Drosophila melanogaster: one gene and its partners. The protein of the gene in region 1 purifies or fractionates together with the protein of each later gene. This does not show direct contact. Each region holds a gene or a part of one and is shown in the gene's direction. Other genes may lie near its edges. The genes, in order: CG10265, fabp, CG2852 and CG7668.

Region 1 (6,975 bases):
TCGTTTATAGCAATTTCATTTGACTTCTCGTTTGTGTTTGCCGTCGGTCAATAAATGAGCGTAATATTTGGACTTTGATTCCTCCGGCTAAACTGACGACGGTGAGACAGTTGCAACTTGCAACTTGCAGCTTCCAGGTTGCTAGTCACCAGTCACCAGTTACAATTACCAGTTACCAGTTGAAAGCCCAACAATGCCCCCACATATATTACTGGCAAACTTGGTCCGTCGCTTGGGAAAAGTTGGCCTAGAACACACAACCGTGTTTGTCATTGTAAATGTGGCCATTAGTTGTATTACGCAGCAGAATTTGTGGCGTTCTTAATTTTTAACCCGCACCAACTAAAGTCAATGAAAATATTAATATTCTAAAGATATTAATAAATAATTTTAATCTTAATGCTCCATCTAAGGTAAAACAACTAACTTTTGTTCTCAACAGATAATAATGCATAGTGTTATCCCATTTTAGGCATGATTTTTTTCCGTTTTGTAATTATTATTTATTGTATATACCAATAAAGTAATTCACAGCTTGCTAATTGAAAAGAGTAGGTTTATTTTATACAAGCCAATGGAATGAATAATTCCGACCATGAAATTAAATGGCAGTAAAGCCAAGACGATTTGATAATGCCCACAAATGTGAAACCAAAAGGACGGCACTGTGTGTTGCAATCAATGTTTTTGTGCACTACTTTCAGATGAAAAATGACATTTTCTTGATGCTTGGCTTAAGTGACAGTACAAGTGTCGGGCGAAGGTGCTTGGAAAATGCCTGGAAAAGCCACTTGTCCGAACTTACTTAACACATGGCGACACAACTCACACATGCACACACTCTCGCACACAAATACACATACTGTGACACACTATATACATATATGTAGTTGTGCAGCTGCGGAAAGTATGCAACATTTTTGTACGAAAACGTGGTCGCACGGCCAAGATGTTGAAAATAGTGCCAGCGAAAAGTGGGGAAGAGAACTGTGATGGGGTGGCCTTAGTTAATTCGCAGTCCACAACAATGCAACAGCAACAACACCAACATCAACAACAACAGCAACAACAACATCTGTGGCAATTGTAGCGCCAGCTTTTCTATTGTATTATGACAGCAGCTGCACCTGCAAGTATGCAGTGATTGTGATTCTTTGCTTTCATTTTTTTTGCTAGTTCACTCGGCTGCGAAACCCCTTGAAAAACAGTAAACAAAGAGCAGGACAATAGTGGACGGGTGGTGGGTGGTGGGCGGCTGGGCGGACAGATGGGTAGGTGGTAATGCCCTGCCATGGCATGTGTTCATTGTCCAAGAGCAGTTCATGCCTGGTTACGCATCCCTATGTGTGTGTGTGTGCCAGTGAGTGTGTGTGTGTGTGGTGGGGTGCAGGACAGGTCGGGGGGCAGTTGGCATATCAACTGGTCGGACATGGTGTAAACACGTTTAATGTTGTTGCCATTGTCGTTGCCGTTGCCATTGCCATCGCATGGCTGCAGTTGCTCCTCCTGGCAAGCTGGCTGGCTGGCGAGCCCTCGGAGTCACGGAGCCATGCAGCCATGGAGCCATGGAGCCACCTAGCCACGGAGCTCGTCCTCTTCTGGCGCCGTCTCCTTTGCCACGTTTAATTTAATCTACTGGCCAAAGCTGCAGCCGCTACCTTGACATGGTCTGCACTTCAATCTGCATGCACGGCGTACAGTGGTGCCTGGCTATATCCAAACTGTTAGCAGCCAACAAGCTAGTTTCGAATTGTGTCTAATTTGTGTAGAAGCATCACAGCACAGTCAGGCGTTTTAAGGGAAGCTAATATCTTCTATTTAGGATCAGTACAATAAACAATACAAATAATAACAGTTATATACTTTAAGCGGTATCCACTGTAGTTTGCGTCCTGGCTGCTCGAGTGCACCGCAGGTCCATTTAACTTAGCTTTGGCAGTGGCAGTTAGTAGTAGTAGTAGTAGTGGCAGTGGCAGCGGCAATGGGGTTCCAGCTAGCTGGCCACCTTCTCCGCTTCCTCGACTTGGTGCATCACTCAAATGCCGGGGAGCCCCGCAGGCCCCCAAACGAGGCGACAGGAATGCGTGTGTGTAGCAGAGCGTGTGCAAGTATGAGTGTGGGCAACGTAATTTGCATGGTCAGCTTGCAGTTTTGGGACACACAGAGTGGCAAGTTGTGCCTCGCTCTCGTCCCTGGCTTAATTGCATGCAGGAATAGCAACTGCAGGAGCAGCCTCATCAGCATCGGCAACTTCATCCAATTGCCGCTGGAGCTGCGACCCACAGATCCATACAATTTCCGGGCTGTAAGCGATGCGGCTCTTTAAAGTTCACTTATTAAGTTGCAAGAATAGCAGGAAAATTCAACCAAAAGTGGGCCAGTTTGAAAAATATCAAGAATATGCCAACGATACTCACCTACGCTCTGCCGGGTGATTATGCTGCACGTGGTTCGACATGGTCCGTGCTCGTTATGCGGAACATTACAACAACAAAAAAAAAAAATTTAATATATATGTAGGTACGCAAAAAGTGCTGGATTTCCTTTTCATTTGTTTTCCACACACACTAGACAGACATTCGAGTTGAAGTCAAAATCAGACAATGTTCCCTCCATATGGCTCCATATCACATTGGTCGAAAAAATGGCAAGCTTACAAATGGCGCAGTCCCCGGCTGCATAAACGATGTCATTTTTTGGATTGCCCAATTTTTTTTTAGGTAGCTTGCGAATCATTTGCAAGCGATTTAATTTCAATTGCATGGGCGTTAATCAAAGGAAACAAAAGCCAACACGGGAAAAAGAACAAAGAAAACGCTAGTCCACTTATTCGACAATGTAAAAGAAAGCAGAGAGTTACTATTAATGCAGCAAAAAATGAGCAGGAGCAGTTCAAATAAAATCTTTCCAGTAATTTTCGATTCATGGACCAAAAACCGTAAACAAAAAAATCGTTCTATTTTACATAGTGAAAGTATGTTTTCATCTATTTTTTATCAATCTGAGCAAAACTACATATAAACATAAATTATTTATATAATATTTATATTAAATTATTCCAAACATTTTATTATACCATTTATATATCGTCATCCTTATCAAATCTTATATCTAAATGTTTTTTTTTTTAATGTGTAATGTGTTTTTCCTATTTGGTTTTTTGTGTGCTTTGAATTTAGGCGCGCAACAAAATGAATAGCAACTGTTTGGTATTTTTATGTCAGATTTTGTACCAACTAAAAATCGTTGACATCTACTACGTTTCAACGTCTGGCCACTCTGCACGAATGCAAAAACAAACTGAAATAATTTTTTAATACCATTTTTCTTCTTGGCGCGAATTGGCTACAAAAAAAATGAATGGATCGCGTAAAATAAAGTCCATGAAGACGATTCGCCTTGGCGACGTTCTATACGACGACCAAAAACGACTTCTAACGCTGTGCCGCAGCTGCGAATGCCACTTTATGACGCTCCAATCGTTCCAACGCCACCTAGCCGATTGCCCCGGAGTAAAATACATAGTAACGCCGATCGAACCGCTGGCATTTGATGATGCCAATCGGGAAACGAGACTGGTGAATGGCAGACAGGAGGTAGGCAGCTAAGGGAGCTCCATGATCCGGCGTTGCCCTGAAAACTTCCTGAGAATCCTTTTGATTGAACTCACTTCTTGCAGATTCACATCTACGACCTGGAGGCGGTTAAGAAGAACACCAACACGGCCATCGATTGGGAGGCAGAGCTGGAGGATCCACGCTGGTACACCAATCCCAAGCCCACCGTGCAGACCATACCAAAGACAAATTCCAAGGAAAATATAGTAAAGGAGGATGTAGTGCCGCTCGCCAAGGAGCCTCAGGAACCGGAAGGGGTGCCTGCGAAACGTCCGCGTAGCCCTCCCACCACCCGACGTACCATTCTGACCTCCCAGCAGCAGCGCAGATCCCGTGCCTGCTTGACTTCCCCTCAACCGCCAGCAGTAAAGATGAAAAAGGCCATCATTCTGGTGCCCACTGTGCTGGAAGATCTGAAGCGATTGCAGGACACGGAGAAAAAGGAAAGGATTCCAGAGGCACCACCAGCTCCTGTACATCCTGTAAGGTCATTGCAATCTCGTGCTACCGGGACAACGCAGTCAACATCTCAATTGGTACCCATGAAATTTTCTCCTGCATCGAAGCTTATTATACCAGTCTCTTCAAGGATATCTGAAGTACCAGAACCTCCCAAGACGCCCGAGAAACCAGTTCCTACCATAACAAGCAAATCAACTCCTCCATTGGATGGCACCCAGAAAATCCTAAACAAACTCAGAGCATGCGGTGTGGAGGTGAAGCGAGCAAGTACCCAATTGAATGCCACGACTGAGCTAAATCCAACCAAAAATCAAGAGACCTTGGACATCATGAGAAAACTGCAATCCAAGGGCATCAGATGCACCAAAGTAAGAAAATCGTAGTTGTATTCGCCGTAGTGTAAGGATGGTGCCATTAAATGTGCCTCTGGAGGCGAGGATTTAGCAATATAACTTTATTTAATTTAAATGGAGATTAATAAATTCCCGGATAGCGTTTATAACTTTAATAGCAAGCGAGTCTCTTTATTATCAAATCGCTTAATTTTAAATGTTTTATTTTGGTTTTTTTGCTCAAGCAGTGTGACCTTTTGATGCGACAACGTTATCGATTTAATATATCGACTATACACTAGTGGTGGCTATTTAGCTTATAAATGTATTGAACTATATTAAATAATTAAAACTATATATCACTCAAACAATGCCGTTTAAATACTTTGAAGACGGTAATCACATGTTCCATACAAAATGTTAACAGTCCTAGCTTTTTTTATGTTGTCCATTTATGTAGCTGAAAAGTTGGCATCACTGTGTAAGAAGAAGAAGCAGCTTGTTGATTTTTGGTGCCGCACGCGTTTCGGTCGAAAGTAATTGGAAATATTTGTGCTTGCGCCCGGCGTTATATATATTTTGTAGTACTCGAAACACTGCCGAATCCAAATCCAAAATTCGCGTGTGCACACCCACCTGCCGAGGCGGTACCAATTAAAAGGTAGGTCAGCTGACGACGATGGCAGCCAATTCGGGCTTACATAATTTGGGGACAGAATATTTATTTTGCCACCTTAGATTTGGCATTCAATGCAGTGAAAATGACATCATTTTGAAATTTTTAGAACCGCTTGTGTTTTGTTTGGTGAATTTTATAATATTTGCAATATTTCGGCTGCAGTTGCATCATTGACAGCGAACCTTAAGTTTAGTTCTCTGTAAAGGTCACCAAGCCCAGACTTAAAAAACAGATGTTTTTTAACAATCTTGGTACGTCCCACTACTAAAGCACTTATAATTTAATATACATTTAATCCGCCAGTAAAACACCTATAAATTTGAATTAGAATTCAATTTTATTCTCATTTCAAGTTTCAATATTATTTCTATTTCAAATACTTGTAGTTCATTTCCTTACTTAACTCTCGGGCACCGAACAAAACTGCATTGCATTTTCCTTTTAATAATCCACTACATTTAGCTTTGAGAGTTTCAGGCTTAATTATCTAATTGAATTCGTTACATTTCGACACTTGTTTTTATTCAGAGTTTCATTTTCGTGGTATTTTTAGGCTAAACTACTTAGTGCATGTGCCCATTTGAATTAAATTAGTGAGTCTACCTGGGTTTATTAGTTTAGGGTTTTAACATTAACTTAAAGCTGCTTATTGTTTGCATATCATTCAATCCTTTTCTTTTTAGCTCTCTCGAATCACAAAACATTTACATAGTTAAAGTATTAACAGTGAGAAACATATACGGAGACAATAGATTAGAATGTAATCAACATTTATACGAAAATAGTTGGTGTTTATATCCTGTGGGTGTAGAGACTTATCGATAGTGGTGCACATTTAAATGCGGCGTTCAACGTTTTACAATTACTTTTCATTATTCATTTAATATAAACAAATCTGATATGGGGCTGGCTGAAGAAGTCTCCTCTGGCCCCCTAGTTGCTCACTATTCCAGAGAGCGCCTACGCAGCGTCTTGCGCACTCCGCCGAAAGCAGCACTGCTGCGATCCAGGAGCTCGTTGGACAACCTGGCCAACAGGGGCAACTCCCGCATGGAAACGTTTACGGAGGGCAAGGGCGCCAGTTGCTGTTGCAGCTTCTTAATGGGCGTGGGCGGTGCAAGGTGATTCAGCTGGTGATGGGGTGTGACTGGCAAGCTGGCTGTGGTGGCGCAAGAGGTGACCTTCACCTCGACCACATCGCAGTGGCGTTTCAAGGCCTCGGCGCCCAATGAATCGGGTCGCTGTTCGGTGGACTTCAAGCGGTTCGTTTGCTGCCTTTTGGCTGTTTCTTTCAGCATCATCAAGTGATCCAGCTTGTCCACCGTGGCCTTCAGTTCATGCTCCCACACATCGTTCTGCTGCTGTCCATCTCCGCCCTCGATGGGACGCACCGCCAGGATCTTGACCTTCTGTCGCAGCGCCTCCAAATCGCGTTCATCCACTACACCTCTGAGCTCCCCGGCTCCCGTTTCATCGTAGTCGCAGGCATCTTCCTCATCTTCAGTTTCGGCAGCTGCTTGGGGAGTTTTTGCGCCCAAAGACATCTGGCTGCCCGCTATGGAGGGATAGTCGCACTTCTCAAGCTCCAGCTGGAAATCGGGCAGTGATGGCAAGGCACTGGAAGTCGGAGAGTTTAACTCTGCTCCCACACCCGGCTCGCGGGGTCCTGGTGGAGTGGGAAAATCTCCCCTCTGCCTATGTATATCCTCACTGATCCTCTCCAGATTGCGTAAGGCCGTGGAGTAGGTGCTCTTAGCACCGGCCACCTGCTGCTGCAGCTCCTGAATGCGGTTTTTTTGTGTCTGCAGCTGATCCTGACACACCTGCTTCTCTTCGAAGTACGGGCGTGACTTGTTGATGCTACGACGAAAACGATCCTCAAGCT
Region 2 (11,105 bases), on another chromosome or scaffold:
TTAAGTTTATGTGTTCTATCGCAATGATTCATAACATTTGTCAGCAGTTTTTCCCCTTTGGATATCTAGTTCTGTACCTAGCGCTGTTAGATTTCCTCTGGAATAATTTTGAAAATGGATCTTAGCTAAGTGTCGCCCTCAATTGGTAACCAATTGAATGGGAATCCGAGCTCCCGTGAAATGCAAAATGATTTTGTCGCCTCGGTCACGCGAATTAAGCGAACCATTGAATGAAATAATCAACTTGTCAGTGTTGTCACGTTATATGCTCCCCAAATCCCCCCCCCCCACACACACACACACAACAAAGCACATGAATAAATAACACCTAAACTAGTCATCAATGGGTGCTTTTTTCTTATCATCGCGCCGAAAAAAAATGTTCGATTTTAGTTTACTAACAATGCCATGATCTTTGAATATGTGTATTAATAGACTTGTAAACTGGTTTCTATTAGAGCTATTAAGTTTATAACCCACATACATATACATATATATATTCTATTCTTTTTGCAATGAGATGGTTGGACAAACCATTTAATTAAAAAGAAATAAAAATTTAGTCTCGAAATGCCCAGAAAGATATAATTTCTACGCTCACCAGAACATAAGTGACGAGAGGGGACTGGATCGCTCCCGTGGATTCTCCGGCAGTTCATCGGCTTTCATCGACTGCATGCTGATTGCACTGATTGGAGCTAAATTGCACTATATAGAGTGTAGCATTACAAGTACAGGGGACTTGCTCGGTCACCGGGATTGCCTTTGGACGACGGCGGTTGATTAGCACTTTTCGATACGAAAGGGGACACGCGCTCTATTTTAATATAATTAGTTTGGCATTAGCCGAGGAGAAACCAGATGGAAATGCGAGCGATTTCAGATTCCGATCTACGAATTCGATTTCTATTCACGTTTGCGGGAAGTAAACTTTTCCACTGGCACAATGCAGACTTCAATATTGCGTGGCATTCGGATTGGAAGAAGTGCTGCTGCGAGATCACGGTTCCAAAAAAGATCACTTCACGCGGAGATATTCGGTATTTCTATCTGTTGCAGGCGTATTTCGTCATAGATTGCCTTGTATTTCGTATGTGATTTAGTTCATAGCACATCTTACTTATCGCGAACGTATCGAAGTACACATGGCACTGCGCGCTACTCTACCCACGACTATCTGCTCGCTCCGAAGGTCCGACTCGTTCTGACCCGATCCGCTCTCGGGCTCCACCTTAAATACATGTCACTCTCTGGGTAGGTGTTGTGCCAGGTTAAGATCAGCGCTCTTTGTGGGTGCTCTCCAATGCTCTTGGTGGGCTCTCCATTACACTAGACTCTTTGCCACTCTCTTTATATCGCTCTTTCATAGCACTATTCTCGATCTCTTTTGTTTGTGGGTTATTTGTTTAGTCTTTAGTGAGACTAGTGATAAGCAGGTTAACTTATATTTTCCTCGTTTTGCGCGACACTTTGCAGTAGTAACCAACGTGTAACAATGATACGACACTTTTATGGTGCTGGCAAACATTATTCTAACATGTCCGATAAAGCTGTTGACTCTTTGGACTTTGTAGTTATAAAGTTAGGATCAGATAATAGATGTTGTATCTAAAGTTTTACAAACGCAACAGCTGTTGCACGGTCTCATTATTTGTCCATTCCATTACAAATCCAAATTTTATTATTAACTACTTTACCGCACTAGTTGAGCGCAGCTGTTAGTTGAGGTTTTTTGAAAAGTTGATATTACGATTTTGTGCTGCATACTTTCGGGCTTTAAAGTTTCCGAATGACTAAATGCATGTTTCTTCAACGCAGTCCAGGAATGGCTGCATGCAGTCGAAAAATGGACTGCCAAATGGAATGTGGCCATTAACTCCTCGAAGTCAGCCTGTGTAACTTTTACCCTGCGGCCCGGAACTTGCACAGATCTGACTTTTGATGGAAACAATGTCACATCGCACTGCTACCTAGGAGTTCATCTAAATCGGGGACTGACCTGGAGGGCCCACATCTCGTCGGTCAAATTCAAGTCACTGGCGAAACTAAAAAAGCTCGACTGGCTCTTCCACTCCAGTAAATAATACACATTAAGAAGTATATATATAAAGATATACTGAGAGTATATCATATTTTGTATTGATCAAGACGTTACTTATTATTGGTATACATAAATAATATATGTAGTACATATTATGTACATAAGTATGTTTCGTGGCAAACCCCCGTAATCTCTTTTATTTATGACGATCAATGCAATAATAAGGATGATCGGTGAGGGGGGTGCGGGATCATGGACTAATTGAATTAATAAGATAACGCTTAGCAACAAACAAGTCGGTATCCATGTAGGTGGGCCCTCCCACGGGATGGGCAGGCTTATGGAGATCGTGGGTAATCTCAATATTGCATTGCCTGACCATGGGTGGAAGGAAGTCCTCGATTAGATTACAATTCACCGGCGACTTATCAAGAGTTATTCATAACAATAATATAAACGAATTGTGTCGAAAATTATTTATACACATTGGTAAAATGTAGAAGCTCGGGAGATTCTTTTAATGGTGCCACTGACCCACAGAAAAAAGTCTACTAATTCGGAATATATGGGGGGCGAACAGTCGAGACTCAGAAACCTGGATAACGGATATCCTTTTAAATAAAATATACGTGTGTATGTATGTTAAAATTTTAAATCTTGATATTATATTAATAATAATTTTGTACTACAAAGTGAGATAGTCTGGGTTTCAAATAAATTCCCCTTCCTTACTTGCACACATTGGGTTTCCCAATGCGTAATCTGAAATTCGGAGAAAAGTTTAAAGTTCGCGCCAAAATAGGCAAGTTTTGACTGTATAATGCGAGATACATTGCAGTTCCATTGTCAGCATGACAATGTGGCGTTCGTTATTAGGCCGGTGCTTTTGAACCAATTAAGGCTGCAGCCAATTGATCGCGCCAAGGTGAAGGTGCTTGGGTGCTGGGAGGAGCAGGAGGAGCTGGTCAGACGTTGGGTGGCAGTAACACGTCCGATCCATTACCAATATGCGGTGTGAGGGGGAGTGGTGGCCCCCATAGAACCGTTAATATTTTTTTTGGAGAGCGCCTAAAAAAGCTGCTTTTTGTAAGAGCGCCAACGGCTTGGCGCCGACATTTCGATACCTTGGCGGCTGTACTTGGCTTTGCATCTGGTAATCCGATGCTCAGCCGATGCCACATCATTAAATTTTTAATTTGTGAGACAAACAAAAAGGAAACGTGCAAAAGCCGTGCCGCAGAACGAGAGCGAATCAAATGAGAGCGAGAGGCCATTAACTTGCATCTGGCAATGCCGTAGCCGCAACGCGAAAGTATATAACAGCCGGCACGCCGCAGAGCTTTTCATTCGCTCAGAAAATTTCAACAGTGAACATCTTGTGCAGAACACAGACCAAATATTCCAAAAATGTCTTTCGTTGGCAAGAAGTACAAGCTGGACAAGTCCGAGAACTTCGATGAGTACATGAAGGAGCTGGGTAAGTTGCCAAAACTAATTCGCAGTGCATCAAAAATAGAAAACCAAAGTGCTCGAGAGAGCGAGAGCGGGAGTGGAGGGAGAGAAAAGAAGCCGAAAACACGCCACCGAAAATCGACCGGCCGGCATTTTTCGCACTAGTGTGCAAAAAGTTTCATTGGCCAAACGAGAGGGAAAAAAGTAAATGTCTTCCGGAAAATGTTATATCAACTGAAGATTATGAATGAATTCGACTGTTAAAATAGTTTAGCTACATGCATAAATTGACACCTCATTGAATCTGCTGATGTGCGTATGTGTGTGTCAGATAAAATCAATAGAGAATAGGACCAGAGAAAGAGATGCACATCTGCAGCAATAAAAACGTGCTCCAGTTATTCACCTCACCCTCTTTCTCAACTTTACAGTTGCGAATCGGAGGACAAGCAGTATAAAATCCGTAAATGGTTATCTGCGGTAGTCATAAACCCAAAAACTAATTAAGTGTGGGGCCTGAACTTTGCTCCCCTTTTTTGAGTCACCTCCGTCAGCTTTCCATGGGACCGAAATCATCATAGTGCCATTAGCTTTTGCGACAGGTTTTATCTATTTGTGTACTAGATTTTGGGAGAAAGTCTCGCAGTGAACTTTGCACTAGACTACAAGCTTTATAGCTGCGATGATCTTTGCCCGGCTGTCAATTTAGACAACAATGAAACACCAGATATAAACTACATATAGGACACATTCGACTCTCTTACCGATCAAAGTGCAATTTCTATTGCAATCGTGATTATACTATATGGTGCCACTAAAACTGATCAATACCATCGCTTCCTGTCTAGACGCGCCATAGGGACTAGTGGCATTTGGTAACCAGAGACGGGCGTCCAGATTTATTTACCAGACCACCAGTTCGTCAGAACTTTTCGCCTACACACTTTGCGGCTTCGGTTTAATGGTAGACTTGGTCCGAAAGCCACGTACTTCTCAATTTTCAAGCCCAAACAAATCTAAAATCAACCTGCCGTTGGGGCCTCGCAGCACTTATCAGTTGTCGTACATATATAAATGCGATAAACTATATGCCTATTTATGTACACACATTTGTAGTATATACAATGTCGCAAAAGGCACGATAATTAGGCGCGATTACGGATTTTGCACTTTGGGCAGCCACCCCTATCATAGACCACGGTTCGCAATTGCAGGCCAGTCTAATCTATTCAAGGTTCTCCTGTCATATACGATGCATATAAATCGATCTCTGGTACAGTTGCTGGGTTCCCATGAGTGGGAACCTGGCGACTTATCGCGCCACGCCAGTTGACACTTGACTTGAGGGCACTGGACAAAAGAACAAGTTGGTGGTGGTCCATACATAATTGAACATAATTGATTGGACCACTTGTTGGTTTGATGTCTGACAATGTACTAGATTGGAAATAATACATGTGCCCTATTTGCTGGCACATTCGTAAGGTACCAGTGATTCACACTTTGTTTTTGATTCAACGTTTCATTTGGCGAAACTTCTTTCAAATAAAAATATAAATGCAAAATTACTCATACAGCTACGTGCATGCATATAGTATTTCAGTAATTACAAGTCCCATAAAATTAAGTGACAAATTTTAGTACTTAAACACGATTGATTGTTCACAATCGTTAAGTTATCATTTAATGATGGAATTGCTTTGCTTATCTTTCGATGGTAATTATCAGCACTTCAAAGGTTTACGATTTGGAACGTCAGCAAAATGGATCTTGACCACTTAAGCCAGTAAAATATATATTTACACTGCTTGAATGGCATTTATATTCACAGTTCTGCCCTCAAACAACATATGTATATATGGAATGCTGCACCGAGATAAGGTGGTGCTTTGCCAGATCTATATTTAAATGCATGGAGGGGCTTGCCAATTGATAAGAGCGGAGATGAGGATGAGGGAGGAGACGACGGCCCGCATTGTTCGTTAACCTTGAGCACGACTTTTGACGTTACAGCGGAACGGAATCTGCAGGGAACTTCATGGCTCGGCTTTATTATTTTTAATTAAATATGATATGATTTGCATTGTGAGCGCTTTGGGGTCCCCAACTTTGTTGGGCTAATTCAATTATGTGCAGTCTGCCCCATCATTCATCTTTCGGTGCGATCTTTGATTTCCTTACATTCTCGTGAGATGGAACTTCATTAATTTCTTTTCCCTTTCCACTTGCAGGCGTCGGTCTGGTGACGCGCAAGATGGGCAACAGCCTGAGCCCCACAGTGGAGGTGACCTTGGAGGGCGATACCTACACCCTGACTACCACCTCCACCTTCAAGACCTCTGCCATCAGCTTCAAGCTGGGCGTTGAGTTCGACGAGGAGACCCTGGACGGTCGCAACGTCAAGAGCATCATCACCCTGGATGGCAACAAGCTGACGCAGGAGCAGAAGGGCGACAAGCCCACCACCATCGTCCGCGAGTTCACCGACAACGAGCTGATCACCGTAAGCGCTTACTATACCTTGCCGTATATCATCACACCCACCTAACTGATCCAATGCCTCCCCCACAGACCCTCACCATCGGCAACGTTAAGTGCGTGCGCGTCTACAAGGCCGTCTAAGAGACTGATCTAAAACTATAATATCCATACGACTACATGCATTAAAACTAACTCAGATAGCCAATATTCTTGTTGACTAACAGTGAACTAAACCAAATCAAATGGAACTGCACGCTCTGCCCAATGTTAATTTATAATCGCACCCGTACACCCGCAGTCGGTGTATGTGGGAATACTCCTCGTACTCGGGGACCAATTTCCGAATGCATTTGAATAAACTATTACTTGAAGTGCTTTTAAAACATTCCGACTTTCTTTTACACTTCGCTTTTAAGCTTGTTGTTGCTTAGGTTAATGACGAAATGTAAGCTTAGACACAGCAATCAAAATTATATTAGTTTTAGTTATAAATTTATATTTTGGCATTTTTCCAACTATTTCCCAAATTTACGGTTTTGTGAGTAAGCAAGTAACGTGTTTTCATCGAAATAATTTTAGTTCCTACCTAAAAAAGAATTTTTAAGTGGCTTGTTTGTGAGGCGAACAATGCCAGATATTTTAGTTTGGCTTGAAAGTTATCGTTAAGGATCCCGAAATTCGTAGGGTGTCATATTTTCAATGGCTAAAGGGATCGAGAATACCAAATTCAATTACATTTTCAATTGGAGGTCATATTTTTGAATCGATATGAATTATAAAGTTTCAAATTTCAAACTGTTAAAAGAAATTCCACCTTTGGGGTTATAGAAAGCATGTTTCTTACTATCGTTTCTTATTGTATCGTTTATTGAAGTTGTATGTATAAAGAGAAGAGGCACAAGTCTGAATGGTCTCTGATTTGCTTTTGGGCTGCGGATGTTCTGCCCACGCGTTTCCGTTTCCGTTGCGATGCATTTGCTCTTGCTAATTGAGTATAAAACACAATGCTGCTGGGGCTTTTGCACTGTTCGTGTGAATGGGGTCTGTTGCAAGTGCGTGCCACAAGTGTGGGTGGGTGGCATCTGCTGCATTTGGGGGCTGGCGCAAGCGCACACGTTATCAGCGGACAGTTGGCAGCACGGCCACACTTTCGCCGGGTTTTTTTTGTTAACATTCGTCGTTTGCCGGCGGCGTTAGAACTACGTGTATCCGCATGACGCCGAGTTGCGTCAGTCGGTAAATAGTAGACACTTAATTGTTGGTCAATTGGGCGTTATAAATTAAAAAGCAAAAGCGCCGTTATCGATTTTATTAGTGTAGCACTAAATGCTCTGATAACCTGGATAAAACTACCGCGTGGGTGTGCGTAGGCTACGCGCATTGTGTGTGTGTGAACTCATTGTGTAATCGCTAAAGAAAAAATGTTGGTCTACTTTGCGGCGTACCTAACATTCAAAATTTAAAGTCAAATGTTCTTCTTGTTGTTCTTCAGCGGAGCTTTTCCAGTCCGCCCCAAAAGCTCTGTCCACTTTGTTGTTGCTGGACAAACGGGTTTCCGATTAGAGAGAGAAAGAGAGATCTTCACTGCGGTGTCAGCAAAAAAACGTTACTTTGGCGCTACTCTTCGCACTCTCTGCACAGAAAAAAGTTCTCCATAAAGTAATCGAAACGCACTTATATAGCTATCAAAATACCTTTATCAATGTGGAATCAATCTTTAGAAACTTAATATTCCATTATTAGGATCGAACTGATGTATGTGTATGTTACTCGTTTAGGATCGTTTACTAGATAGATCCACGTATCATTTCTTTTATTTTCAATTTCTGATTGATTTTCAAAATAGAAATATTTTACTGTGTACATTACTGAGCGCGGGGAGAGTGGATACCGCTGAAGTGCTGTTGTTTACAAAACGCCGACCATTGGAATTACAGTGCGCCCCTGATGCAGTGAACTATAGAGAATAGCGTGCTCAGTCTATCGATTCAATTTATTTTACAAAAAGTTTGATATTTAGAAGAATCTACCATTTTAAATCTATTGGGATAGAGTTGTTCGGACTGCTGACTGTTGGATCTGAAAATCCAAAGTCCGTTAGTTCCGGGATGCACTGTATCGCTTTCGCTCGTCGATTGGAAAATGGAATTTTTTCGTAGCCCCGATCAGTTGAGATTCAACCGCTGTCCCCATCGCCACTTCACTTCACCGCTGCCTGGGCTTTCCAAAATTATAATTATTTCGGTTTTTTGAATTCTAATGTGAGTAGTAGAGAACAATACCCGATAGCAAAGCTGCATGAGCAAAAATTAAGCGCGACTTTTGCCAGACAGCAGTGCGCTTTGAGTGTGTGGGTGTGGGCTTAATCAACCGCTTTTGAAGTCTGTGTGTGTGTGTGGAAGTCGGTAGAAACTTTCCAGTGCCGACTTATCAGTGGGTATTGTTTATGTTTATCCAGATTTCCAGACCGATACGGAAATTGGCTTAAACAGCGGCATAAAATGAATAATTATGAACTTGCAACTGTGTGCGATTATAATTTATGGTCATGCAAAAGTTATGTAATCGCACTGAAACAATATTAATTTGTCAAGTGCAAAGAGCGAAACAACCAACGAGCCTGCTGATATTGATATAGTACCGCTCCCACTCAAACCGTCCCAGACTATATCACCCGATCTTAAGTAATCACTATTGAGATTTTCGAACATTTGGTTTTTCGCTCTGTTTGTGTTAGTTTGTCGACTCTTCGTTCACAGTTTTCGAACCTTGTCCCCAAGGTGAAATGAATATGTTTTGGGGGAAAAGAGAGTCAACGATACAATGGGAAGTTACCTATGATAATGGCATTGATTACTAACTTTAAATTGGAGCCCGCTGGAGCCATTCCAGCCAAGTGGAATTCTTTTCCTCATAGAAATTGCATAACTAGTAGAGCAGAACTGCAATTAAACAAACATTTAATACGATAATTAAGGTCGATATTCGCATAGATACGCGGTTCACGATTGTACGTCACAGATATAGTTAAATTGTTTAAATAGATGATAAGGAATACTTCAGATATCATTATCTATGAAGAACAAATGCCATATTTTCATACAAGTTTTGGGGAATATTTTGAAATCCGCGCACCCACGCAGAACGAGTCTATTTTGATCCATTTACAACAATAGGATATAAATAACATTCAATCGGACAGAAATCAGCTGGAATTCACTCAGTACAATAAATGAATTCTACTATTTTCTTTCAGCTAATTCCCCACCTAACACCCAGTCAGCATGGATCGCTCCGCCTTCGCGTCCCTTGTCAGCCCGTACCGCCGACGTCCGTGGATGACGGAGCACGGAGCGGCGGCTGCGGACAGCGGCCAGGTGGGCCTTAAGGGCATCGTCGCCGGCGGTATTACGGGCGGCATCGAGATCTGCATCACCTATCCCACCGAGTATGTGAAGACACAACTGCAGCTGGACGAGAAGGGAGCGGCGAAGAAGTACAACGGCATCTTTGATTGCGTTAAGAAGACGGTGGGAGAACGTGGATTCCTGGGTCTCTACCGAGGTCTCAGTGTGCTCGTCTACGGCAGCATTCCTAAGTCAGCGGCGAGGTAAGTTATATAACTTTTGGTTATAGTTCATGTTTTGCTGATTAAAAGATAACTTTCAGATTCGGTGCTTTTGAATTCCTGAAATCGAACGCCGTGGACTCCCGAGGACAACTGAGCAACTCCGGAAAGTTGCTTTGCGGCTTAGGAGCTGGCGTATGTGAGGCCATCGTGGCAGTGACCCCGATGGAGACCATCAAGGTGAAGTTCATCAACGATCAGCGCAGCGGCAATCCCAAGTTCAGGGGATTCGCCCACGGCGTTGGCCAAATCATCAAGTCGGAGGGCATCTCTGGTATCTACAAGGGCCTAACGCCCACCATTCTGAAACAGGGCTCCAACCAGGCCATTCGCTTCTTCGTACTGGAGTCCCTTAAGGATTTGTACAAGGGTGACGATCACACGAAGCCAGTGCCCAAGTTGGTGGTTGGAGTGTTTGGAGCTATCGCCGGAGCAGCCTCTGTGTTCGGTAATACGCCGCTGGATGTGGTCAAGACGAGGATGCAGGGTCTGGAAGCATCGAAATACAAGAACACTGCCCACTGTGCGGTGGAGATCTTGAAGAACGAAGGTCCCGCCGCCTTCTACAAGGGCACCGTGCCAAGATTAGGTCGTGTGTGCCTGGATGTGGCCATCACCTTTATGATCTACGACTCCTTCATGGATCTGTTCAACAAGGTGTGGGTGTAACTCGGCGATTCGGCTTGGCGACTTAGTTACTTAGTTCATCCTTCTACCCCAAAAAACCCACTCGTGCATTTTCCTCTGTTCCCATTGTTCCCTAGTCGACTGTTGCAATAGTTTCTAGTTTTGTGACATATTCCAAGAAAGCATTTTATATACACTCTATACCCGCAATGGGTAAGTGGCTATAGAAATTATACAGCTTGTTTTAAAAATTGAATTAAATCTGAAGAGTCTATTTGAAGTTCCCATATAAATCATAGCTAGACTGGATGAAATAGGTAAGGCTTTTTGGATTATTTAGTTCGCATGAAAACGTGAATATTTTAATTGGTACTATATAATAGTAAACAGTTTTCTAAGTAAATCTCTAGAATAGATTAGGCTACGCAAACGAGTAAACTTCAGATTAGATCTTTCACCAAGAAAGGGGAATGGGTTAAGAGGTTAAGATTACTTCTAGGCGTTTTATGACAGATTGGCAGAGACTTATCTACGTAATTCACTATTTAGCACCAAGGAGGGAAACATTTGCCTTACAGTCGGACATCTGGCAGACATCTGCTATCTTTAATTGCAACTAACAACGGATAGATTGCTTGCACCATAAATAAGGACAGATTACTCTAGTCTAAGGCATTTTAGCGCACCACATTCAGCGGAATGGATGCGTTCTTGCTGCTGACGATACGTCCCAGCATCTCGTCAAGTGGCGCACCCAGTTCCTGCCAAATGCACTTGCCGATCAGCGAGATTTCCTCCAGTGGCGGTCGGAAAGCCACCAGCAGATTAAGGCATATTCCATCAGTGTTCTCCTGCTCCGAAGCTGAGTGCTCCACG
Region 3 (7,229 bases), 7.7 Mb from region 1:
TACTTTTTAGTTTGATTTCAAAATTTTTTTTTTTTTAATTTTCGCATTTTTTATAAGGGGTAACATCATGATATTATGCAAAAAAAGGCGAAAATTTGAAAATCTAAGGCTTCAACACCAGTCGATAGAAAATTGTATTATGAATTCAACGATGTAACCCATTCCATATTTGGCTCATTATTTTTACTTTTTCGATCAAAAAAACTGCATATTTTTGGGCGGAAAACCGGGGGAATATATTGGCCAAAAATTCCATATTATTTCTCTCTGTGCACTCACGTTCTCTTTTGAGTTTGGAAACAGGTTGCCAGCGTGCTTGGCAGCGTTTCGCTTTCAGTTCGATTGTTGAGCGATCATGACGACAACGCTGCCGGAGAAGGAAGCGGAAACGCAGCAGGAGATCAGGGAGCGGGAGGCCAAGGCTCTGGAGGACCGAAAGGAGCGCAAGATCTACGAGAACTTTGCCACGCCCCTGGCAGGCACTTTTCTCAACCTGCCACGCGAGCCCGTGGAGATCGAGTGCCCCGCCTGCGGAATCAAGGATCTGAGTGTGGTGCAAAATGATCTGAAGTGGTGGGCCAGTGAACTAAACCGCATTGTGGGATGTCTTTTTGTGTAGGTTGCCTTACTTTCTCCTATTTCTTGGAAACGTAAACTTATAAAATACTTTTACAGGACCTTCTGCTGCTGCTGCTGCTTTAATTACTATGTGCCGTGCAAACAAACCGATCGAAGTCATTACTGCGGCAATTGCGGCTGTTACTTTGGACGTTCCATGAAGAGGAGGCAACCACTCAAATTGAAGGCAACCACCGCCTAGGCAGCATTGTTCACATATTTATTAAAATTCTTCTAAACACTCAATTTCCCACCCACTACTGCAATACCATCGAAACAAAAATAAAGCCAAAAATATCACATTTTCTCTTTTTTGGGCCGATTTTTTTCTCTTTGCATATCATTTGAACATTTTATTCCTACAATTTCTCTTCGCTAGCCTCAGTCTGCGTTTGTTTTTAAAGCAGTCAACATCTTTCGGTGCGAAATGGCTCAGGATCCGAAACCACTTTACTTTGCCGTGGGCCCCGGCCCCAACGACATTACGTGTCCTTATTGCAGGACCAAGGCCAAGACCCGTGTGGTGCGTTCCTGGCTGCGTTGCTGCACCAAGAGGCATCACTGCGGTGCCTGCGGGGAGTACCTGGGCGTATACCGCCGTCCACAACTTTAGATACCCACTGAAGAAGGATCATCGGATCCGAATTATTATAACACAATGAACAAATGTAGATCAGTTTTGTCATTTAATTTATATTCAATAATAATAATAAATATACTGCTGTTTGAAACGAATAAAAGTTTACTATTTAATGTGTAATGCTCAAAATGTACACTATACTTTTTACACTGTACATCCAATGGCATTTGTAACGCAGAGAGAATAACTCATTTGATTTCCATGCACTAACTTAATTACCAGACCAACGCCTCGGTTAAGAGAAATCGGGAGAGTGATTCTGATTTTGATTTTCCCTCCCATGATCTCTCCAAATTTGATCCATCTTTCAGTCACCGATCGTTCTCGCTGGAACTCGCATCATGACCGTGGACGAACCGCAGATTGTGGCCATCATTGTCAGCCACAAGCCACAAGTGGGATACCTGAAGGAGGAGCCCACCTGGATCCGTTGTCCTTCGTGTGAGAAGTCTGGAACCAGTTTGGTGCAACTGGAGTTGGTCACTTGCCTGCAGAGATTTCTGGGATTCACAAAACTTTGGTTGGCCATCTGCATGAAGCTTTATAAATCTTTCGTAATGTTCACTTTATTTCAGTAAAAAATGGTCTGGCCGCCAGGACATCAATCACTATTGTTCACACTGCGGTTGCTTCATTGGAAGATTTGTGCCCATCAGCTGCATGGAACGATGCATTTCGAGATCAGCCCGTAAACAGGCGGCCGTGGATGATATGACCCTGAAGACACGACCCAAGGATTGCGCTGAAAGGGCCCAGAAATCCAGGGAGAAAGTTCTGGCCAGCAGGGAGAAGAAGAGAGCAGAGAAGGCAGCCAAGGATATGGACAAATCTCAGACGCAAATAGCAGTACACCAATAAATAAAAGCATATTTTTTTACTTACTTTTTGTGTACAGAACCGTCAATAAAACAAGAGAGAATGCTACGTGCTAATGCAAACTGGACTTCTAATCCCTAAAATATTAAAAACTATACCAATAAAGTCAACTCTTCGAACTTACTTTGTTCCTTCGTACGAAAACCTTAACTTATGCTTTCGGCGTATTAACTATTTGAATTTGAATTTTCCGCCCGAATGTGTGATCATCAGACATCGTCATCGAATGGTCACACTTAAGCATCGATATTTCGACAAAAACATAAAAAACGATGGAAAACATCGATTGGCGATGCAACAAAGTTTTCTTACATCACTAACAGAAACCGAAAATTCAGTCGTGAAATATCCATTGGCGACGTCGCTTGAGGAATAAACTGAAGCGCTGTGAATATTTAGAACGATGAAGCTGTTCTTATCCGTTTTCGTGGTAGCCCTGGTGGCCGGCGTCGTTGTTGCCGACGATAGCAAGGGTCCCAAAGTGACCGAGAAGGTGCGTGCTCCTTGGACTTTCGTCCTTACATTCTGCATACACCACGTACATACACACACAAACACACACACACATTTGCTGCGCCATAAATCAAGTGAGATGACTTGTTAATAATAAACCGCTTCCGATTGCGTAGGTTTTCTTTGACATCACCATTGGCGGCGAGCCCGCTGGTCGCATCGAGATCGGTCTGTTCGGCAAGACGGTGCCCAAGACGGTGGAGAACTTCAAGGAGCTGGCGCTGAAGCCGCAGGGCGAGGGGTGAGTAGGGTACTTGAGTACCGAAAATACCCCAACATAGTAGGGTGCCAGGTACCGCTAGGCCAGCAAAAGATGCCGCTAATCAGCGGCACTTTGTAGGTTATAGCGGGGCTCTCAGATTGAAGCAATTACGTGGCGTTTGAGCGGCCAATCGCATACATCAGTTGACAAAGCGGCACTAATGGGTTAACAAAGAACGCCAACTGTTATTAAGTCTACCATACTATAAAAGTGCAGTTCTTGGGTATTTCTTTTTTCTTCTCTGAATTTATAAGTATGCATGTTCTTTTTTGGTTAGGTTTCGAGTTCTAAACCCAGTTTTTTTTTAAATTTAAATTCCCATGCTGACAAAACTGACCATCATGCAACGCTCTTATACCCCGCAGCTACAAGGGCAGCAAGTTCCACCGCATCATCAAGGACTTCATGATCCAGGGCGGTGACTTCACCAAGGGCGACGGCACCGGCGGTCGCTCCATCTACGGCGAGCGCTTCGAGGATGAGAACTTCAAGCTGAAGCACTATGGCGCCGGCTGGCTGAGCATGGCCAACGCTGGCAAGGACACCAACGGATCGCAGTTCTTCATCACCACCAAGCAGACCAGCTGGCTGGATGGACGCCACGTCGTCTTCGGCAAGATCCTGTCGGGCATGAATGTGGTGCGCCAGATCGAGAACTCGGCCACTGATGCCCGCGACCGTCCCGTCAAGGATGTGGTCATCGCCAACAGCGGCACCCTGCCCGTTTCGGAGGCCTTCTCCGTGGCCAAGGCCGATGCCACCGACTAAAGTGTTTGGGGAGCATGTCATCCATCAGCAACATAACCGATTTGAACTAAGCATAAACGCATAATCGATTTTTCCAGACATTTGCATTTACCATAGCTCGCCATGTTTATTTACATTTCGTTCCGTAAGCAAGTAATTGTGCTCAACTAAAAACAGAAATGGCATAAATAAAGAATGATTTTTTGTGTGATAAAGAGCTGGAATCGTTCTGTGTGTCTATACCATGATGCCGGTGGTGTGCAGGTTCAATGAACCGGTTTTGGTTCCATCGCTTTCTTTTGGCTCTGACTTCCCTTAGTGGCAACCGGTTTGTGCCTTCTTCGCCAATTTGTTTGCCTTTGTATGTTGTGCCGTTCTCGATTTAGATTGCCCATGTTCTGTCTGTTTTTTCTCTTTGTTGTTGATAAACAACGCTCGGTTCGTCACATTTTTCTGATTTGCACACTTGCGACAAATTAAAGAACACACAGACGAGTTCATTTGTATATTTATTCAGTTTGTTTGGGCCTGCTGGGAACTAATTGTATATGATTGAATGAACAGGTGCATGACTGTCTCTGCAGAAGTTAATCGGGTCGATTGATACTTAAATAAGTGCCACTGGCTCATCTTTCGATCAAGTATCCTGTTCTTTATAGAAAGTTTCCTTTCACAACCCTTGGACTAAATATTGATTACTATATACATACCATACTATACTATCCCATGTATATAGAGGTGAAAGCCCGAAACCAGCCCTCTAGTAACTAATTATATATAGCATAATTTTTCAGATCTCAGACGCTGATGAATTGGCAACTTTTACAATTAGCGAATGCACTCAAATGCAACAACATTGTCTAGAAATGCATATGTCTGCCAATCCTTAGACTTCACGTCCCCCAATCTTTTGTTTAGAGCGAGAGAAACCAAGAACTGAAGAGACGATCTCATATCGTTCAAATGTGGGGAATCGTATATGTACATATATATGAAGACGTACATATGTGCAATTGTACCCCTTTCACAGACCCCACAATCGCTGTGTATACATTAATGAAAGCAATAGGATCTATATGAAACGCATGTGTATTGGGGTCTGGTGGCAATCTCATGTGCCACACATGTTCCAGTGACCACAGAAATTCTGGACGTACTTCTAAGATTATATTCCCGAGAGCAATCAGTTGAGTGTTTTGTTTTTGTGGGGAGTCAAGGCGCTGGGAGCGATAAGTTCAGTCTCATTCGTAAACTCAATACAACCGGAAGAGTTTACCGGCGAATGCAATTGCATTACGGCCGGAACTTAAGTATAATCCCAAGCTGATCGTTGATAATAGGGAATATGGTTGGTAAACGGATGCAAGAAGTTCTAGAAAAAGTGTCATCCAAATAGTTTCGAAGCTACTGGAAGACAGATAAGAAGAGATTGTCTTTAATTCGATGATGTGTACTTTCGGAAATGACCTAATTAGTTGTGTGTATGTTAAACCATATAGGAATCTCAATGGAATCGTTGGATCTTGCTGGCTATTTTGGGACTAGCTCTGGGCCAGATTTCACAGGCAGCCAAGATCCTGGTACTGTTTCCCCATGTCAACGAGGGTCACTTTGCGGTGATGCGGACTCTGGTCACCGAGTTGGCCAATCGCGAGCACACAGTAAGTGGCAGTGCTGTCGTTTAAAACGTTTAAGAAATGAAAAGAATGTTGTTTGAATTAGATTGAAGTATATACCGGTCATGGTTTGGGAGAATCTCTGGATAACGTTACCGAAACGGTGACAGCGGAATTTCCTTTTTGGAGCGAATGTGAGTAGGCCGTCTGGAGAAGATTGTTCACGAAGTATAGCAATATCCACATACAGTGCAAAAACAGGCGGCACCCAAGGGAAACCTTGCTGATCTTGGACTCCTGCCAATTGAAAAACTCCGCCAGTCATTGGCCAGCGTTGGAGCGCGTGCTTTGGACCACTTCCTCGCCCAAGAGCCCATCCAAAAGCTGCTGAAGATGTCATATCTTGAGTTCGATTTCGATGTGATCCTTGTGGACTACTTCTACACAGAGGCTTTGTTGGCACTGGGAGCTCTCCATCAGCGGCCAGTTGTAGGGATTATTTCCACGGACTTCGGCAACTACATGGATGCCGTACAAGAGGCACTGGTACCAGCCGCTTGTTCACCCATCGATTTTGAGCGGGATCAACCTGAAATGAGCTTCTCCGTACGATTGGGAAATATTCGGACATGTATTGCTCGCCGTAAGCAGTTCATCAAGGATCACTACGGCGGTCAGGAGCAGTTGGTGACCAAGTACTTCCAGCTGCAGAGCTCTATCCCCGAGCTGCAGGCCAGCCAGCTATCCGTGCTGCTGCTCAATAGTCATGTGCCATTGATAACTCCCAAAGTTAGTATCCAACAGATAATTCCCGCCGGTGGACTTCACATCCGTGGTCCCAAGGAGCTGCCCTGGAATGTGAAGCGCTTTCTGGAGGAGGCGCGTCCTGGAGCCATCTACGTTCAACTGGGCAATGAGCAGGCTTGTGGCCAGCTACCCAAGGAGAAACTCGACACTCTGTTTGCCTTCTTCTCCGCCAGAAAGCAGAGCATAATCTGGACCTGTCACGACGTCAAGACCCTGGAGGGACTGCCAAAGAATGTGATGATCCAGCATGCAGTGCCGCAGATAGACATCCTGGCGCATCCGAGAGTCAAGGCTTTCCTAACCAATGGAGATCTGCTCAACCTGCAGGAGGGCATCATGCGGAATGTGCCCATTCTGGGATTGCCCCTATTCCAGCATGAAGCTCGGAACATGGAGCTAGCCGTGCGATTAGGAGTTGGCCTACAGCTGGAGGAGGGCAATGTGACAACTGAGTCACTAAACTGGGCAGTGGACAGGCTACTCCTCGAGTCACACTTCCAGTTGACCATCCGGGATGTGTCTCTGGAGTTCAGGGACCGTCCTCTTGGCGCTCTGGCCAGCGCTCTCTTCTGGGTGAACTATGTGGCCCGGCACAAGGGAGGATCGGCTTTGAGAACCCGAGGCATTGGGATCTCCTCCTGCCAGCTGCACCTGTTCGACCTCTTCGTGTTCTATGCCGGAATAGCTACTTTAGTCGTAAGCTTACTGGTGGCCCTGAGTTTTGGCGGCTTTTATATTTGGAATAAGAAAAACAACTCCAAGTCGACCAAAGTAAATTAGGTTTAAAGTTTTGAATAAAGTGCATTCTGAGCAGTTTTTTATGAAAAATAAGAATGCATTCTCAAGAACATGAATGAAAGAAAAGCTGAATCATCAGAAAGTTGGTTGCTGCCATTCAAGAAAGTCAAGATTTGTTGGCTTCTTTTTCGTACAAAATAATAATTATATTAATTATAATTATAATTATATTGATTTGGGAACAAAGAAAAATAAAGTTGACCAAAACATGTTAATAGCGAATCGTAACTCAATTTGGCGCTCAAAGGAAAAAAAACTAATAAACGTAAATTTGTCATAGCTTTATGAGTAGACTATTGACTAATGCTTATTGGGTATTTTGATACTCGATCGATATTAAAATAGGTGATTT
Region 4 (7,569 bases), on another chromosome or scaffold:
GTAGTAATATGATTGAAATGAACAAAACTGCAATCGGCATTGCAGCGGGAGTAGCTGGAACTCTGTTTATTGGATACTGCATCTACTTCGACAAGAAGCGCCGCAGCGATCCCGAGTACAAGAAGAAAGTCCGTGAGCGTAAGAATCCCCATTGCGCCCCAACTGAATTATGAAAGAAACTCATCATTTCATCACTTCCTAGGTCGCCGTCGCAACAAGAAAACCGGCACTGCCAAGTCTGGAGTTCCCAATCTGAACGACCATGAAGCCATCGAAAGGTAGGACACTCCCATGGGAGTCGCATTATATAATGTGGCACGTGTAGTGGTGCCTGGCGATTCAATACACCTCCATTCAAACAAACAAGCCCACATATGTTTCTCCAGCCAAATCGATGTACATATTTTATGTGGAGTCCCATTACACTTGCGTGTTCATCGTGTTGCTGCTTATTGCCTCAGGCATCTAAAGACTCCACTGCCTTGGATTAACAAGCACATTTCAGTGTTTGGATTCTCAGCAGGCTTCCTGCCAAGAAATTCATAATTTGAATATACAAATAGTTATTATTGTTGCAACTGTGCACAATTTATATTATTTATATGCACCTAATTTGCCTGGCATTAATTTAATTCGTAATAGTGTGCATCGAATCAGCTGTTCCAAACTAATTAAACCATGATATTTGCAGATATTTCCTTCAAGAAATCCAGCTGGGCGAGACCCTGATCGCCCGCGGAGATTTCGAGAGTGGCGTGGAGCACTTGGCGAATGCCATCGTCGTGTGTGGCCAGCCGGCTCGTCTGCTGCAGGTGCTGCAATCCTCCCTTCCAGCTCAAGTATTCGCGATGCTGATCGTCAAGATGCAGGAGTTCGGCAATCGAGCGGCCGAGGGCAACGACGGGCCAATCGTTTTGGGGCAGAGCTCGGAGCAACAACTGGACGGAGCCAAAATTATAGAGTGTTCATCTGGAAACGCAAGTATCGACGACCTCGAATAGTACTTGGAGATGGCTACAGAAATTGAGATATAAATTTCAACAGTAGAAATTAAGGGCTTCACATATAAACATTATATTTTTTTTATATATTGATTTCTCTGGATGTTCCCAATACATACAAATAAATATGCGTAAACTGTTAACACTTAACAATTGAGCTTTGTTTTGTGCGTGGTATTTACGTTAGGCGAATATCAAAGATCAACTCTGCAGACCTAAATGTTTTGCAATATGTATGTATAACAGGGTATGTGTTAAAGTGTGTGAAAGTTTATCAACAATAAAAGATTATTAACATGTTGAATATCTTGGGAATAAATACATATATCTCCTAACCGGTTTGATAATAAAGGTATTCCAAAGTTTCTTTGGTATTTAAATATAAGTGATTATTTATAGGAAAAGCGTACTACTGCCATCTAGGCAGCTTAATCAAATGAGAAATGGTTCTTATACACTTATTTAAAGCAATAGTTTGAAAATGCAAAAGTTCCTTTTCAAAGATGATACCCAGTAATTAAATTTACGGAATACCCCCTATGCCATGTTCTAGCCGGACTGCGTAACTCCCTCAGTCCATATCTGGTAACACTTAGAGCTAAACAGCTACGTGCAATTCATCGGATTTTTTTGTATTTTGAGTTGTTACAAATATAGGCACTTGCTTTACATCTTTAAATTTATTGCACGGATTATTGCAAATTCCGTTTGGAGTGCTTTTAGGTACGATAAAACGTGGTGCTGATAAATTAATCCCCATGAAGCCGGAGGACCAGAACAACTTTTCTCAGAATTCGCGATCCTCTCCAGATTCCAGCACTGAGAACAATTCGGTGAGCAATAAGATTTTTCTCGATTCTCGTTACTTACATAGATAGAGAAGAACGTGTGAGAAATTTGAAAATTCTTTTGGTGTATTGATATAAATTCACAAGTAAAATAAAAATCAAAGACACTAAAATAATAATGTCTAATGTCTTTATTATTCTAATGTCTTTGATAAAAACTTTTCGCTTTATATGTACTTCCCCAAATTCCGATTCTAGTGTCTTTGAATAGACTCAGTCAGATCCGATAGTGATCGTAATCATGAATTCATGCACATAGTTCTCAGCGAATATTGTATACTCTTTCGTTTTTCAGAGCAGCAGTGATTCGGAAATGGAATTTGTGGGCACAAGTGCACGGGGAATGCTGAAACATAAGAAAAAAGATGAGAGGAAAATATCGGAACTCACCCGAAAGTTGGCGGAGGCTGAAATAAATCTGAAGGCCCAACAGGAGAAGGGCAGTATACTTGAAAACTGCATCAAGGATAAGGATGATTTTATTAAGACCCTGCAATTGTCGATTGACTTAGTAACGCAAACAAAAGAAATGACCATACAGAAGTTACAAACTCAAATTATGGACTTGCAAAGTGATCTCGACTTGAGTAGGATTACAATTAAGAAGAACGATGGAGGAAATTGTGCTCCAGCGCATGATAAAGTTGTGAAAGAACGAAAGGAGTTAAATATGGAAAATGGAAAATTTCGAGAGGGGAATGATCAGATTGTTGAAATCGAGAAAATTTTGAACTCAAAAGAGGCGGAAATCGCCAGACTAGAATTCAAAATTGACGAGTCGAAGCTAAAAATTGTGCAATTGGAAGGTGCAGTAAAGGCGAAGGACGAAAAGATAGTGAAAATGACAGAGATATTGTCTGAGTATAACGTTAATAATAAGGACCACGATGAATTCGTATTACTGGGCTCTTCCAAGTTGCCTTCAATTAAATTGGTGACACTACCTGATTTCGAACCCTTTGCCTCAGTTTTCGAGGATATTCCTTCTGCCGGTCGTGGTTGGATGATAATCCAGCGTAGAATCGATGGCAGTTTCGATAACGCCACTGAATCAAATATAATAACGGGCTGTGGGGATTTGGGTGGCGAGTTCTGGCTTGGCCTACAAAAATTGCATAAAATGACGACACATCGACGAATGGAACTATATATCCAGCTCGTCGATTTCGACAATGCTAGTGCTTATGCAAGATATGATAATTTTGTTATTGGCGATGAAAAACAGAAATACAAACTGCTTTCCCTTGGCGAATACTCAGGAAATGCTGGCGACGCATTTCGCAGTCATATAAACCATATTATTGTTGGAAATCCGTTTGCAATGGAATCATCGAAATGGTGGGGTACAATGAACTGGTATGTATGAACTTGTTTTTGTTTAATGATTTTGAAAAATAATTCTTTTTCAGTAACTTGAACGGAAAATATCGGAATTCCAAAGTTGAGTTGGACACGACCGATGGCATTTGGTGGGGTAATTGGAATGTTGGTAATAGATATCCCCTGAAGTCGTGCAAAATGCTAATCAGACCAATGCCGTGAGCCAAGTATAATGGCTTGTCAAATAACATTGTCACGGAAATAAAAGTTGTAAAATAATTTCTACCTGTTCATTTTCAGCCTAATTATTGTAGAATGTTAAGTTTTAGTGTCGACCAAAGAGTGGATAACAGGCTTGAAGGTCCTATAAATGCTGTATGCTGTATTTGCAAGTAAAATCTAGCTTCGCTTGGTATTTTTTTTATCGTAATAATACCGACTTTGTTATTTTACGGTCGAGGGAAATTTACATGAAAATCCCACCAGATGGCGCGTTTGATAAAATCGATTTTATCGCAGGAATGCCGTATTAAATTGCCCAAGTTTCTATAAAATATAAATATATTTTGATAAATAGTAATAATAATACATAATAGAAAAAAAAAAAATAAAACATAAAAATCTGCAGAAGGCAACAAATTGCATCTAACAGTGAAGTGGAGCATTTTCCTAGCCTCACAAAATATTTAGCAATAACAAATACATTTGTCTAAAACATGTAACAAGTCAGACATATGCATGTTCTCCGCAATAAAGCTGGGATATTTTTACCAGAGAGGGTCAAAGGACTCAATAACAGAAGGGGAAATAGGGGTGCTCCATGCTCAAGCTGGTCCGGATGAGCTCGAAGTTGCTGTTGGAGGTTGCAGCTGGAGGTTGCAAGCGCAGGACATGGCCCAACTCGTTAGGACCTCGAAACGAAAAGTCGAATCAGTTGAATTTCTGTTCTCATTGACTGCGGTTTAAGTTGCTTTAAATCGCAGTAAACGGTGTGCGTCGTCGGTAGCAATTGAATGAGAAGGGAAAGTATGTTTCAATCGAAAGTCGCGTTGTTCCGTTAATATGACTCGAGCTTAGGCGACGATACGCGAGTCGATAAATGTATCTGCGCCCATACGCATTTCCAGTGCAAGTGATGTTTATCTGTAAAATGCAGAAATATGTACGTATTCGTGTTGTGTGCCACAAATACGTCCGAGTTGACCAATAGTCCACGATAATATTGCTTTACATATAAGTGTAACAGTGAATTGGGGTTGCATAACCCCCTGTGGTGATACAGATAATGAGAAACCAAATATATCCAACCAAAAATCAGTGGAATAAACCACAACATACACCTCCGCACAGGAAACTTCTGCGATGGTCTGGGCTACATTTCTTGAATTGCGAAGCCATTGCAATGAGGATTATGGGAAACCAAAGGGTTCCATTCCTTGTATACGTCCTAGTGATTTGTGATATTTTTAGGGGGCATCAACCTTAATTGACACCCAAATATATTGCCAGGGATCCATGTTTTTAATGAAAACTATAGCATTTAAATAAAGCTGTTTCCAAATTTTGATACAGTTTAAAGACTTTTTTCACATATCAGTTTGATATGTTCCTTTAGAAGAAACCAAAGCAACAACAATATTGTAGGCGAACCAAATAAATAGGACTTCATTTTAATTAGTTAAGTGCTTTCTTTAAAATTGCACTCGACAAAAACCAAAATATTATTTTTTATAATATCTCCATATTACAAATTTTGTTGTTATCTTAAATGCAGCCCTTTAAAACGTAAGATAAAGAGTTATTCGTGAAGGAAATTATTTTGTTTCAGAATTTATTTTTATTGGCGAACATACAAATAATTTAAACATTTAATTAGTCTTGACAATTGGTTTTGACCACTTGTTGAAAGGTTATTAAAGCGATTTTTTTGTATTGTTCGAAAATTTTGTATTTATTAGACAAAGGCCTCGCTTAAATTCGTGTCAATTCGCGCTTAGCAGTATAATCGATCTGGAAATTATCGGCTACGCACTATCGGTGCTGTCATCGAGTCTCGCAATATTCGATTCTTGCAATCGATTTTAGCATTTTCAAGAGAGAGCAATAGCGGGCGGAGTTATCGGCGATCGTAGTTAGTGGTGCATATGTACATGCAGCTGCCAATTAATGTGAGTGTGTAATCCGCGTCTAGAGTTCCGGAAATCAGAGATGAATGAAAATACAAACCGATGAAAGTGATCGCCCCCGAAGTTACCGAGCAACCAGCGAAAACACCGAATATTAGATAGTTCCAGACAAGTTGTGGGATCCACTCTAAATTACAAAGGTATACACACATATGTACCTGAGTGCGTTTGTATGTGGACCAAACATTTTCCAAAAAGATATATCAACCGAGAATTGTGCATTTCTGTGTTTTAAGCCAATAAAATACCCAGTGCCAGGTGCACGAAGTTTATCACGGCGATTCGGAGTGATGTGTGTGCGTGTGTTTGTTTACTTACCTTATCGGAAAATTAGGCCCACGAAAAAGAGACACATGTTATCTTTGTACACCGATGTGCTATGTACATATGCATCGCCTATGTATGTATGTAAATGCTGCACTGCTATGTAAAAATTGGAGTTAGTGCTCGTAATGGTGTGACTTTGTGGACTGATTTTTGGAGTGAGAATCCAGAAAAGCTAAGAAGAGTTCTCAGACATTGCTTCTGAATAAACATTAAAGTTGAAAGCACTCAGTGATTCACATGGCCTGTGCTCGCTAACCCGTTTCGACTTCTTTTCATGCCTTATACATATGTACATACATATGTGTGTATTAGGGTCTTATTACTCATATTTACCTACGCGCCGCACCAATTTCGCAACCTTCACGTTTTCATGAATCGAAAAGTCGAAAATCTCGTAATTTCCACTCCCAACATCCCAACAAGTGGCTCCCTCAGTCAAGTGATTATGCTGATCTGCTGTGCTAGTGAAAATTCATTTTAAAAGTGTTACCTTCACGGTTCTTTAAATTTGTAAACAATAAATTTGAGACTTGAAAGCGACGTGTTATGAAAAATATTTCAAACACTTCTTTTATTCAGTTTTATAGGAAAAATGAAGCTTTACTTTTCACACGATTGGTTTATTAGTTTTTCTTATCTGGCAAAGGTGTCAAGTAAGAGGGCTTTGTGTCGTACAACCTAACTACATGGATATCAAGATATGGAGAAATTCCCGTTCCTTGTGATTATTTACAATTTGAAGACCATCCAGAATGTAGGGCATCATTACATTATAATTCGTTTGGAATTCGAGTAATTTATGGTGGCATTGGTAGGCTGTGTCTAAAATATTACTAATGAATAAAGTTCAAAGATAACACAAGTGCAAAATGAGAATTTCATGACATACACCCGTTTATCTTCAGCAGTTTTTTTTAAATGTTCTAAACGGTTATTGTCATATCATTCTATTACATTGAATTCTATTCGTGTTTCCTTAAAAGTGAATAAGCCTTAAAGATAGAAAATGTTTTGTTTTTGGAAGCAAAGTGAATTACATTAATCACGCATTTTCGAGCCAACTAATTATAGAAACTACTATAAATGACATCAGAAGTGTGGCTGATAAGCTGGTCGTGCCCCTTTAAAAAAAAAATCTAGGTCAAATCGATTGCGGAAGGCTTCTCTTACAATTTTACTTGACGCCCAATCATCTTTTGGGAAAAATTTAAATTTATGCTTGTGCCATATGAACAAGCAGTTTTTAAGAGTGACATTATTGAAATGTACTTATAATTTTACCTCTTTGTTTATTTATGTTATAATATTTACAATTTGCTTCATTTGTGCACAATTCTTAAGCCTTAAATCAGGTACATTGCAAAAGTTGTTAAGCTTAAACACTTATTGTCAGATTGAAAGGAAGGTGAACAGTGGCGCAAATTTGCCAAAATTAGAAGCTGAACAGTTCACTTAATAGACGACTATTGTTGCTGGTAGATATAATCGGTTAGACAAAATGGAGCACTTTAAATCAATTATGTAGAAGAAAGATTGCAAATTCCACCAAACGTAGAGATGCCCATCTCGTCCGCCGTTTGAAATGCTTTCCCATCATTGGAGCATTTCCACATTTTATGCGAATTATATGTATTATGTAAATGTATTATGTACCATAAAAAATGGTTAAAACTGGACGTGTTAAATAGCCGAATATTTGATTTCGCCTCGCAATGAGTGATTTACATTACATTGTGTTGTGCCTATCTGATTAACAATTTGTTTAATTACGAACATTAAAAAATTAAGATATTTCCTCGTAGGTCGTTAATATTTAAATCCCTAATTCTAAATTGAGCTTAAACCAATGTCTTCGGATGGGATTACCGAATTCGGCTTTGAGAAAAC

The links.
Region 2: the proteins of CG10265 (region 1) and fabp purify together in Drosophila melanogaster (affinity purification with mass spectrometry, with the first as the bait; one large-scale study listed by BioGRID). This does not show direct contact.
Region 3: the proteins of CG10265 (region 1) and CG2852 purify together in Drosophila melanogaster (affinity purification with mass spectrometry, with the first as the bait; one large-scale study listed by BioGRID). This does not show direct contact.
Region 4: the proteins of CG10265 (region 1) and CG7668 purify together in Drosophila melanogaster (affinity purification with mass spectrometry, with the first as the bait; one large-scale study listed by BioGRID). This does not show direct contact.

What each region holds. Positions count from the first base shown.
Region 1 is NT_033778.4:14,990,133-14,997,107, reverse strand, and holds CG10265 (uncharacterized protein), read left to right. Parts: upstream 1-3,272; 5' UTR 3,273-3,356; coding exon 3,357-3,596; intron 3,597-3,679; coding exon 3,680-4,462; 3' UTR 4,463-4,585; downstream 4,586-6,975. Other genes in the region: pcs (parcas), read right to left, coding at 6,035-6,975.
Region 2 is NT_033777.3:11,559,331-11,570,435, reverse strand, and holds fabp (fatty acid binding protein), read left to right. Parts: upstream 1-3,381; 5' UTR 3,382-3,448; coding exon 3,449-3,518; intron 3,519-5,324; exon of another isoform or gene 5,325-5,621; coding exon of another isoform or gene 5,622-5,652; intron 5,653-5,724; coding exon 5,725-5,996; intron 5,997-6,064; coding exon of another isoform or gene 6,065-6,115; exon of another isoform or gene 6,116-6,378; intron 6,379-7,143; exon of another isoform or gene 7,144-7,336; intron 7,337-8,139; exon of another isoform or gene 8,140-8,235; intron 8,236-9,230; coding exon 9,231-9,362; coding exon of another isoform or gene 9,363-9,584; intron 9,585-9,643; coding exon of another isoform or gene 9,644-10,271; 3' UTR 10,272-10,540; downstream 10,541-11,105. Other genes in the region: Mrp4 (multidrug resistance protein 4), read right to left, coding at 602-678; sea (scheggia), read left to right, coding at 9,259-9,584, 9,644-10,271; CG10898 (uncharacterized protein), read right to left, coding at 10,907-11,105.
Region 3 is NT_033778.4:22,641,580-22,648,808, reverse strand, and holds CG2852 (uncharacterized protein), read left to right. Parts: upstream 1-2,464; 5' UTR 2,465-2,537; coding exon 2,538-2,627; intron 2,628-2,763; coding exon 2,764-2,888; intron 2,889-3,274; coding exon 3,275-3,677; 3' UTR 3,678-4,163; downstream 4,164-7,229. Other genes in the region: CG34445 (uncharacterized protein), read left to right, coding at 356-615, 676-820; CG34446 (uncharacterized protein), read left to right, coding at 1,046-1,231; CG30195 (uncharacterized protein), read left to right, coding at 1,600-1,778, 1,834-2,116; Ugt317A1 (UDP-glycosyltransferase family 317 member A1), read left to right, coding at 5,002-5,004, 5,156-5,317, 5,379-5,466, 5,523-6,859.
Region 4 is NT_037436.4:20,001,159-20,008,727, forward strand, and holds CG7668 (uncharacterized protein), read left to right. Parts: upstream 1-1,577; 5' UTR 1,578-1,759; coding exon 1,760-1,834; intron 1,835-2,144; coding exon 2,145-3,205; intron 3,206-3,258; coding exon 3,259-3,391; 3' UTR 3,392-3,676; downstream 3,677-7,569. Other genes in the region: Tom20 (translocase of outer membrane 20), read left to right, coding at 9-138, 203-278, 692-1,001.